2 linked regions of the Saccharomyces cerevisiae S288C genome follow. The gene in region 1 interacts genetically with each later gene. Each region holds a gene or a part of one and is shown in the gene's direction. Other genes may lie near its edges. The genes, in order: RHO5 and TDP1.

Region 1 (3,433 bases):
AGAAAAGAAAATGTTTTTTTCATAAAAAAAACAAACTTTACAGCAAGAATATTATACAGGAAAGGTATGGATGTTACGGAAACAAAAAACAGTCTCATTTAATCATGAGGAATTAGATTATTCCAAAGGAACATGAAAAGAAGTGAAATCAAGAAAAAAAAACAAGAGAATTTACCGGCGGCCAAAAATACTAACGTAATCCCGTTGACGTTTACGCATGCAGTGTTGTAGGCTCACCAGCAATTATGTTAGTTGAGATGTAACTGCTTCGCGTGAACACTACGTAAATGTTATTGTGTGGAACTGACGTGGACCTTTTCTGTGTTGCTTTTAGTATAACGATATCCATCCTTTTACTTGGATTTTCAAGGTATGTTGACCCTCAATAGTTTGAGCCAGCACGATGGCAGGCCCTTAGGCAAATCAAAAGCATCATGCGGCGGAGGATTTATCATCGTGATGTCATTTAGGATAACGCTATGCATCTTATGCCTGCTGCCAGACCGCGAATTTTTATTTTTTTTATGGTCTGCTTCTGGATCATGCGGGCCGGCCTTCTAAGACATTGACTACGCAGCCTTTCATGTACAATTTTACATTTGCCTGAGGATTGTTTGTCAGGTGTCGCGGCCACAATTCTCCGATTTTCTTCCTGCCATGTCCTGCTGCTTACATCAGCGCAGCACGTGAAAAAAAAGAGGAGGACTTTTGAGGATGGTTGAGTTTTTCTTTTAATCGTTTTGTTTCTTTATTGTTTTTATTTTTACGACATTTTCCCCTCGAAGAATATTTATCCGAAATCTCCTCAAACAAGACATAAATCAAGATGCAAATGGTGGTAGATAGAGAAAGCAACTAAAAAATGTCAAACAAGCGTCCTTATTTCATTCTACAGCGGTTAATTTCAAATACCCTAATCGGAGGTCTTATCTTATTTTTCAAGGGCAAGGCTCTCCACATCGGTAAGTGATGACCAGATAATGGAAAGTAGCAGAATTTTATTTATGTGCCATACAAGCCCGGAGAAACAGAGTAGCTAAAAAATTAAGGTGTGCAAAAGTGGTTTTGTTCCCCGACGCCCGGGCCTTTCTCTCCCCTGAATCTTTTCGTTCCGGCCCCCCTCTCTCAATACCAGATCTGCATCTATACTAAAGCTGCAGTGAGAGTAAACCGGAAAATTATCCTGCGTGTTTGCTTCGGTCTTAGCTTTTACTTGGGTATGCGAGAACCTCTAAGAGCTTAGACCGGTCTTCCTCCCTAAAAAGAAAATTATAAAAGGTTATTATCTGGACTAAAGCAAAAAAAAAACAACGTTTCGGCGTCCGCTCAAAATTTTCATTACGCTTCTTGGTCAAATCAGTTACGTAACGGGTTATGACGAATACGATGAGATGAGTAATTGCAGAAGGCTCCTATGCAGACAGCTAAGCAGTGCTTACTTGAATTACCTTCCCTTTTATTTCTTGATATATCGTCCTTTTTCTCTCTATCTTAGTTCTTGCGAGTACTGGCAATCATGTTTCTCCTTTTTTTTTCTTTTTTTTTTATTTTTTTTTTTTTTTTTTACTTTTCAGTTTCTCGTAGCTTTTCCTATTTTGCTATTTAAAGTAAGTTTAAATAGTACCCTCACTAAACACGTACGGCCGATCCACCAACGAACAAAAGCACGATCCTTGACCCATCATTGTATTCCAAAGCGTTGGAACATTCACTTTTTTTTTTCCGGTCTATTGCACAAGACAATATCCAGAATATTCAGTTGGATAGGAAATACAAGACAGGTGGCACCCACAAAGCACACGCCGAAATATTTATTAAATACAATATAGTATACTAATAAGTCTGATGAGGTCTATTAAATGTGTGATAATTGGTGATGGTGCAGTAGGTAAAACGTCACTTCTAATATCATATACTACCAATTCGTTCCCAACAGACTATGTTCCAACGGTTTTTGATAATTATTCTACTACGATAGCTATCCCGAACGGAACTGCGAGTAGCCCCCTAGAGCTTGACAATGGTAATGATAAAAGAGGTTCACTTTCATCTGCCAGTTCTTCACCAAGTACGGACAGAAAACTATATAAAATCAATTTATGGGACACTGCAGGACAGGAAGATTACGATCGTTTAAGACCGTTATGTTATCCCCAAACAGATATTTTTTTAATATGTTTCTCAGTAAGCGAACATGCTAGTTTTGCCAATGTCACAGAAAAATGGCTACCTGAACTGAAGCAGACTTCCAATATTGAAGGTACCTCTCTTTATACTAAATTAGGGAAGTATCCAATTCTATTGGTAGGCACCAAAAGTGACCTAAGAGATGATCCGGCAACTCAGAAAAAATTGCAGGAAGCAAACTCCGATTACGTGTCTCAAGAGGAAATAGATGAACTCGTACAAAGATGTGGGTTTATGGGCTATACCGAATGTTCAGCTGCTACCCAAGCAGGTGTCCGGGAAGTCTTTGAACAGGCGGTGAGGTACGCTATCTACGAACCAGAATCCCCTAACCAAAAATCAGCAAATCATACTCTAACTGATGAATTAACGACTGCAACAACCAACACCAATGGAGATAAAAATATTCGAGAACAAAAACAGCAACCACACCATAATAATAGTACAGATAGTACTCTTCCGAAAGGAAGCTTACAGCAGGAGAAGGAAGCTCTCAATATCAAACCCACAAAAAAGGGACAAAAAGACAAAATTCACGAGCAATCAAAAAGCAAAGGTAGTAAAATTGCCTCAAATAATCATCACAACAAGCAAGCTAAACCAAAGACGAGAAACGACAAGAAGAAAAAGAAGTCAAAGTGTGTAATACTTTAATATCAAGGAGGCAGAAAAAGTAAATAAATAATTACATATACCGATATCATAAATAAGAAAAAAAGAAATCTACACATATATTTACGTTCTCATTTCTAATCATCTTTTCTACTCTTGTTCTGACTCTTCTTTTTAGAATTTTGATTCCCGGTCTTATTGGCATTTCTCTTTGCCGCGACTTTCTTTTCCAATTGTAAAATATCTCTTTCCGTATTATCAAATAGTTTCTTCTGTAATTCCTCGTCATCAAATTCTTTACGAGCAAATTTCACAATTGAACAGTCTGAGATATACTTAACCTTCGTGTCTTTTAAGTTTACTTCCTCCAATTCCGGTGTCATTAAAGCGTACAAGAAACTTTGATCACCACGACGACCACTCTTGGTAAACAGCCACAATATGGGGTACAACAGAATACAGTAAAGTATTATTAACAATACCACCGAACCATTACTAATGACGCGGCGTAGGCTATTTGATCTCATAGTTCCAGGTTGAACCATAGTAATGGTAACATTTTTTCCTGTTCTTTCAGCGCCATTCGTCTTTTGGTTTTTTATGTCTTCGGTAAGTCTTCTTTGCAATTCCATCA
Region 2 (4,441 bases), on another chromosome or scaffold:
AGTTGACGAAACCAGATTTTTTAGTAGCCTTGGTAGGGCTCTTCTTCCTTTTGACAGCATCTGCTCCCGAGGACGGCAATGATAAAGATCTACTTGAAGCGAATTGGTCGTTTAGAGGGTCTTCCTCAACTCCCTGATTGAAGTTGTTTCTAGAAATACGTTCTTTTGCATCATCTGTAAAGAACTTTCTATTCATGCAATCATACATATACTCTGAAGCATTGGAAGAATTCAATTCGATAACTTCTTGTTCGTCAGAAACTATTTTCGCTCTTGAACCCTTTCGTGGCAAATAATTTTGTAAGTTTGTTAAATACTCAGGAGCAATTTCACTAGCATTCTTATTCTGAGCGTCATTGTCACTGCTGTCAATCATCCAGGGAGATAAATCTAATGCGAAATCTGCGATGTTCAAGCTTGGTTCATCATACGCCAGCTGCCAACCGCCCAGGGTTTTATGCAGCGGTCTTATTAATAAGATGTCAATTTCGTCTAATGGATCCGATATTACTGGCCTTGGAGAGTTTGCTTCTATATCTAACTGCTGAATATATAATGTAGGGTCACTGATCTTGTTGCTGGTGGTGCTGATTGTTGGATTAGAATGTTGTCTTGTGGTTGGTTTTCTTTTTATTAGTTCCTCCACTACTTCAGATGAAAAGAAGAATGAATTTGATTGCAGTAAAAATTTTTGAGATTGAGCCAACCATAATTGAATCAAGGATTCAATTTCAGAATAATCTTTTAACGGGTCAAACGATGGAAAGCATTTAACCTCAGTCTCTATATTTATGATGTTTTCAATGTTAAATGGATAACATTCAAATGCATATTTCCTAGATTCCAAATATTTTGTTAGGAAATCAATGTACGACCGTAATCTTTTCTTGGCAAATATTAAAGAGTCTTCTGGCGAGGAGTCCATGTTAAAAGATAGAAACAAGTCCATTCTATTAAAGAGCTCATTATGATTCGGGTCGTACATTATTTGTTTGAATTCACCGTCTATGCAAATGTTGATTAAATTATGATTTCCTGAAACGGTTTTGATTAGAAGAGAAGAATCTGATGCCGGTAAAGTGTTCCAGTCCCATTTTTTTCTAGAATGGAGTTTCTTGACAACGTTCGAAGTTGCACCGTGTAGACCACCACCTCCCCGGCCATTGCCGACCATATTGGATACAATGAATCGCGGTGCAGAAGGGTCTGGTGAGTAATTAGCTTTCACTTCGGAAGTCGGAGTTCCGCTTCTATGACTATGTTTATTATTACTTGTATGATGATGATGTAGACCTATTTTGGAAAGCTGAGCGGACTTCAGTTTGGATACTGAGGATGAGGCAGCGGAGTCAGATGATCGTCTTGACGAGTTTGAGAACAAGTCATCCGCCAGTCTAAAGTTTGGCAAATGTAAGGGCGAATCAAAGGACGAGAGCTTATCTGAATGATGGCTTACTTGTGGTGAGTGTGATTCTACTGAACTACTTGATTGCGTGGTTCCATTTCTACTCTCTTTTTCTTGTTTCCCCTTTTCTTTGTCAGCATTTTTATGTTCAGTAATCATTGAACTTGTATGGTTATCATGTGCTTTTAAGTTGGAAATTTTGTTACTGGTTATACTGGTTAACCCCCTATCATTCTTACTATCAATGTTTTTTGCTTCCTTATTGGAGCCCATTGTATTTACTTGAGCAGTTTATAAAAAGTGGATAAATGAGGGGAAAAATAATAAAAAAGAAAATTGAACAATCCTTCAATATGTGTCCTTTAATAATTACTACTACTTTACACACTTCTCCAGTAGCTGCTGCTTGTTTCAGGTGATGTGAACAACGTGTTTCAGCGTTCTTGGTAAGTGTTGGTATGGATCCCTTCTGATGTATTTTCGGCGGCCGCACTAAACTGCGAAAATGGTAATTTAATAAAGGGCTTATAAAGAGGAAAATAATGCAGAGAAACGGTGAGCCCAGACAAGAATGATGATAATGTGTTTTCAACCGATCATTAATGTCACGAGAAACAAATTTCAATGGAACTAAGAGGAAGAGGTCGGATGTTGCCGAGAAAGTAGCACAACGGTGGAAGAGCGTCAGGTATAGTGCTGAAATGGAGAATATGGCTCCGGTCAACAGTAACAATGATAGCGACGACTGCGTCATAGTCAGTGAATCGAAAATCATTGATTTGACTAATCAGGAACAAGATTTGAGTGAGAGAATAGAAACAAACGATACGGCAAAAGGTGCCGTTTTTAAACTAATGAAATCGGACTTCTATGAAAGAGAGGATTTTATGGGAGAAGTAGAGGATATGATTACATTGAAAGATATCTTTGGCACTGAGACACTAAAAAGAAGCATACTCTTCAGTTTCCAATACGAACTTGATTTCTTGTTGAGACAATTCCACCAGAACGTAGAGAACATAACCATCGTCGGCCAAAAGGGTACTATTATGCCTATCGAAGCCCGTGCTATGGACGCGACACTGGCAGTAATATTAAAAAAGGTCAAACTTATTGAAATAACGATGCCCCCATTCGCTTCCCACCATACGAAGCTGATCATAAACTTTTACGATAATGGCGAATGCAAAATATTCTTGCCATCTAACAATTTTACGTCAATGGAGACTAACCTGCCTCAACAGGTGTGTTGGTGCAGTCCCCTTTTGAAAATAGGTAAAGAAGGGCTACCAGTACCGTTTAAGAGAAGCTTGATAGAATACCTCAATTCGTACCACCTGAAAGACATTGACGAATTGATTACAAAAAGCGTAGAGGAAGTTAACTTTGCTCCTTTGAGCGAATTAGAATTTGTATATTCTACGCCCTCCAAATTTCAGTCGTCGGGTTTACTGTCGTTTTACAATAAACTAGAAAAACTTTCTGCTGGCACAAGTGCTAGTGATACTGCAAAACATTATCTATGTCAAACTTCATCCATAGGGACATCTCTATCAAGAGCGCGAGACGAAAACTTATGGACACATCTAATGATTCCTCTGTTTACCGGAATCATGTCCCCTCCAGCAAAGGACACCGCTGGGAGGAAGAAAGCAGAAATACTGCCAACGAATTCATTGATTAATGAATATTCGCAGAGAAAAATCAAGCCGTACATTATTTTCCCCACCGAACAAGAGTTTGTCACCAGTCCCTTAAAGTGGTCCAGTTCCGGGTGGTTTCATTTTCAATATCTTCAGAAAAAGAGCTACTACGAAATGCTGCGAAACAAGTTCAAAGTATTTTACAAGCAAGACCCTGCTATGGTTACTAGAAGACGAGGGACGACGCCCGCGCACTCTAAGTTTTACATGCATTGTGCAACAAACTCCGCAGGGCCCTGTGATGCATCGCAGGTATTTAAAGAACTAGAATGGTGCCTTTATACTTCGGCAAACCTCAGCCAAACAGCATGGGGCACCGTTTCAAGAAAACCACGCAATTATGAAGCAGGAGTGCTTTACCATAGTCGCAGGTTAGCAAATACCAGGAAGGTCACGTGCCGTACTTTTACACGTGACCGTAGAGGCTGCGCGGGTAATCCCACCCATGTGGCCGTGCCATTCACGCTGCCAGTCATACCATACGACTTAGCTGAGGACGAGTGCTTTTGCCTTGCTCGTCATGAGAACGACTAACAAGTAAGAGCGCGATGTTGCTGTCCACTTAGGCATCACTATATGGGGCCAGGAATGGCAAATTTACTTGATAAACTTCAGGCGATTGGATTTTGGTGCTCAGAATATTTTTTTCTCGGGCCGAAAGCGTCTTTAACTATTCCGAGCTAAAGCTTCCGAGTCCTTTATTCGGTCTTTTTTTATTTTTCAAGATTAACTGTATATAAATAGAGATGGTATGATTAAAAGCTCTTTTTAATAGATGCTCCTTCTTGAAATTTACTCCCACTGTGCTGCAAGAGGTTAGACGCTTCACGCACATTTTTGCTACAATGACAAGTGCCGCTACTGTTACTGCTTCGTTCAACGATACTTTTAGCGTATCCGATAATGTCGCCGTTATTGTTCCTGAAACGGACACTCAGGTGACCTACAGGGATCTATCCCACATGGTGGGTCACTTCCAGACCATGTTCACAAATCCTAATTCTCCATTGTACGGAGCTGTTTTCAGACAAGATACAGTGGCGATATCCATGCGTAATGGGCTGGAATTTATCGTCGCTTTCCTCGGTGCTACTATGGACGCTAAAATTGGCGCGCCCTTGAATCCCAATTATAAGGAAAAGGAGTTCAATTTTTATTTGAATGACCTGAAATCTAAGGCGATTTGCGTCCCAAAGGGTACCACAAAGTTACAGAGTTCTGAAATTCTAAAATCTGCCTCCACGTTTGGATGTTTTATCGTAGAGCTGGCCTTCGATGCGACCAGGTTTAGGGTAGAGTATGATATATACTCTCCAGAGGACAACTACAAAAG

What was found.
Region 2: mutations in RHO5 (region 1) and TDP1 are lethal when combined (synthetic lethality), as found in Saccharomyces cerevisiae (one study listed by BioGRID).

Annotation. Positions count from the first base shown.
Region 1 is NC_001146.8:299,062-302,494, reverse strand, and holds RHO5 (Rho family GTPase RHO5), read left to right. Parts: upstream 1-1,845; coding exon 1,846-2,841; downstream 2,842-3,433. Other genes in the region: PBR1 (putative oxidoreductase), read right to left, coding at 2,937-3,433. UniProt on the Saccharomyces cerevisiae protein: Small GTPase that negatively regulates a MAP kinase branch, downstream of SLT2, of the PKC1-mediated signal transduction pathway.
Region 2 is NC_001134.8:667,864-672,304, reverse strand, and holds TDP1 (tyrosyl-DNA phosphodiesterase 1), read left to right. Parts: upstream 1-2,007; coding exon 2,008-3,642; downstream 3,643-4,441. Other genes in the region: YBR225W (uncharacterized protein), read right to left, coding at 1-1,678; PCS60 (Pcs60p), read left to right, coding at 3,954-4,441. UniProt on the Saccharomyces cerevisiae protein: DNA repair enzyme that can remove a variety of covalent adducts from DNA through hydrolysis of a 3'-phosphodiester bond, giving rise to DNA with a free 3' phosphate.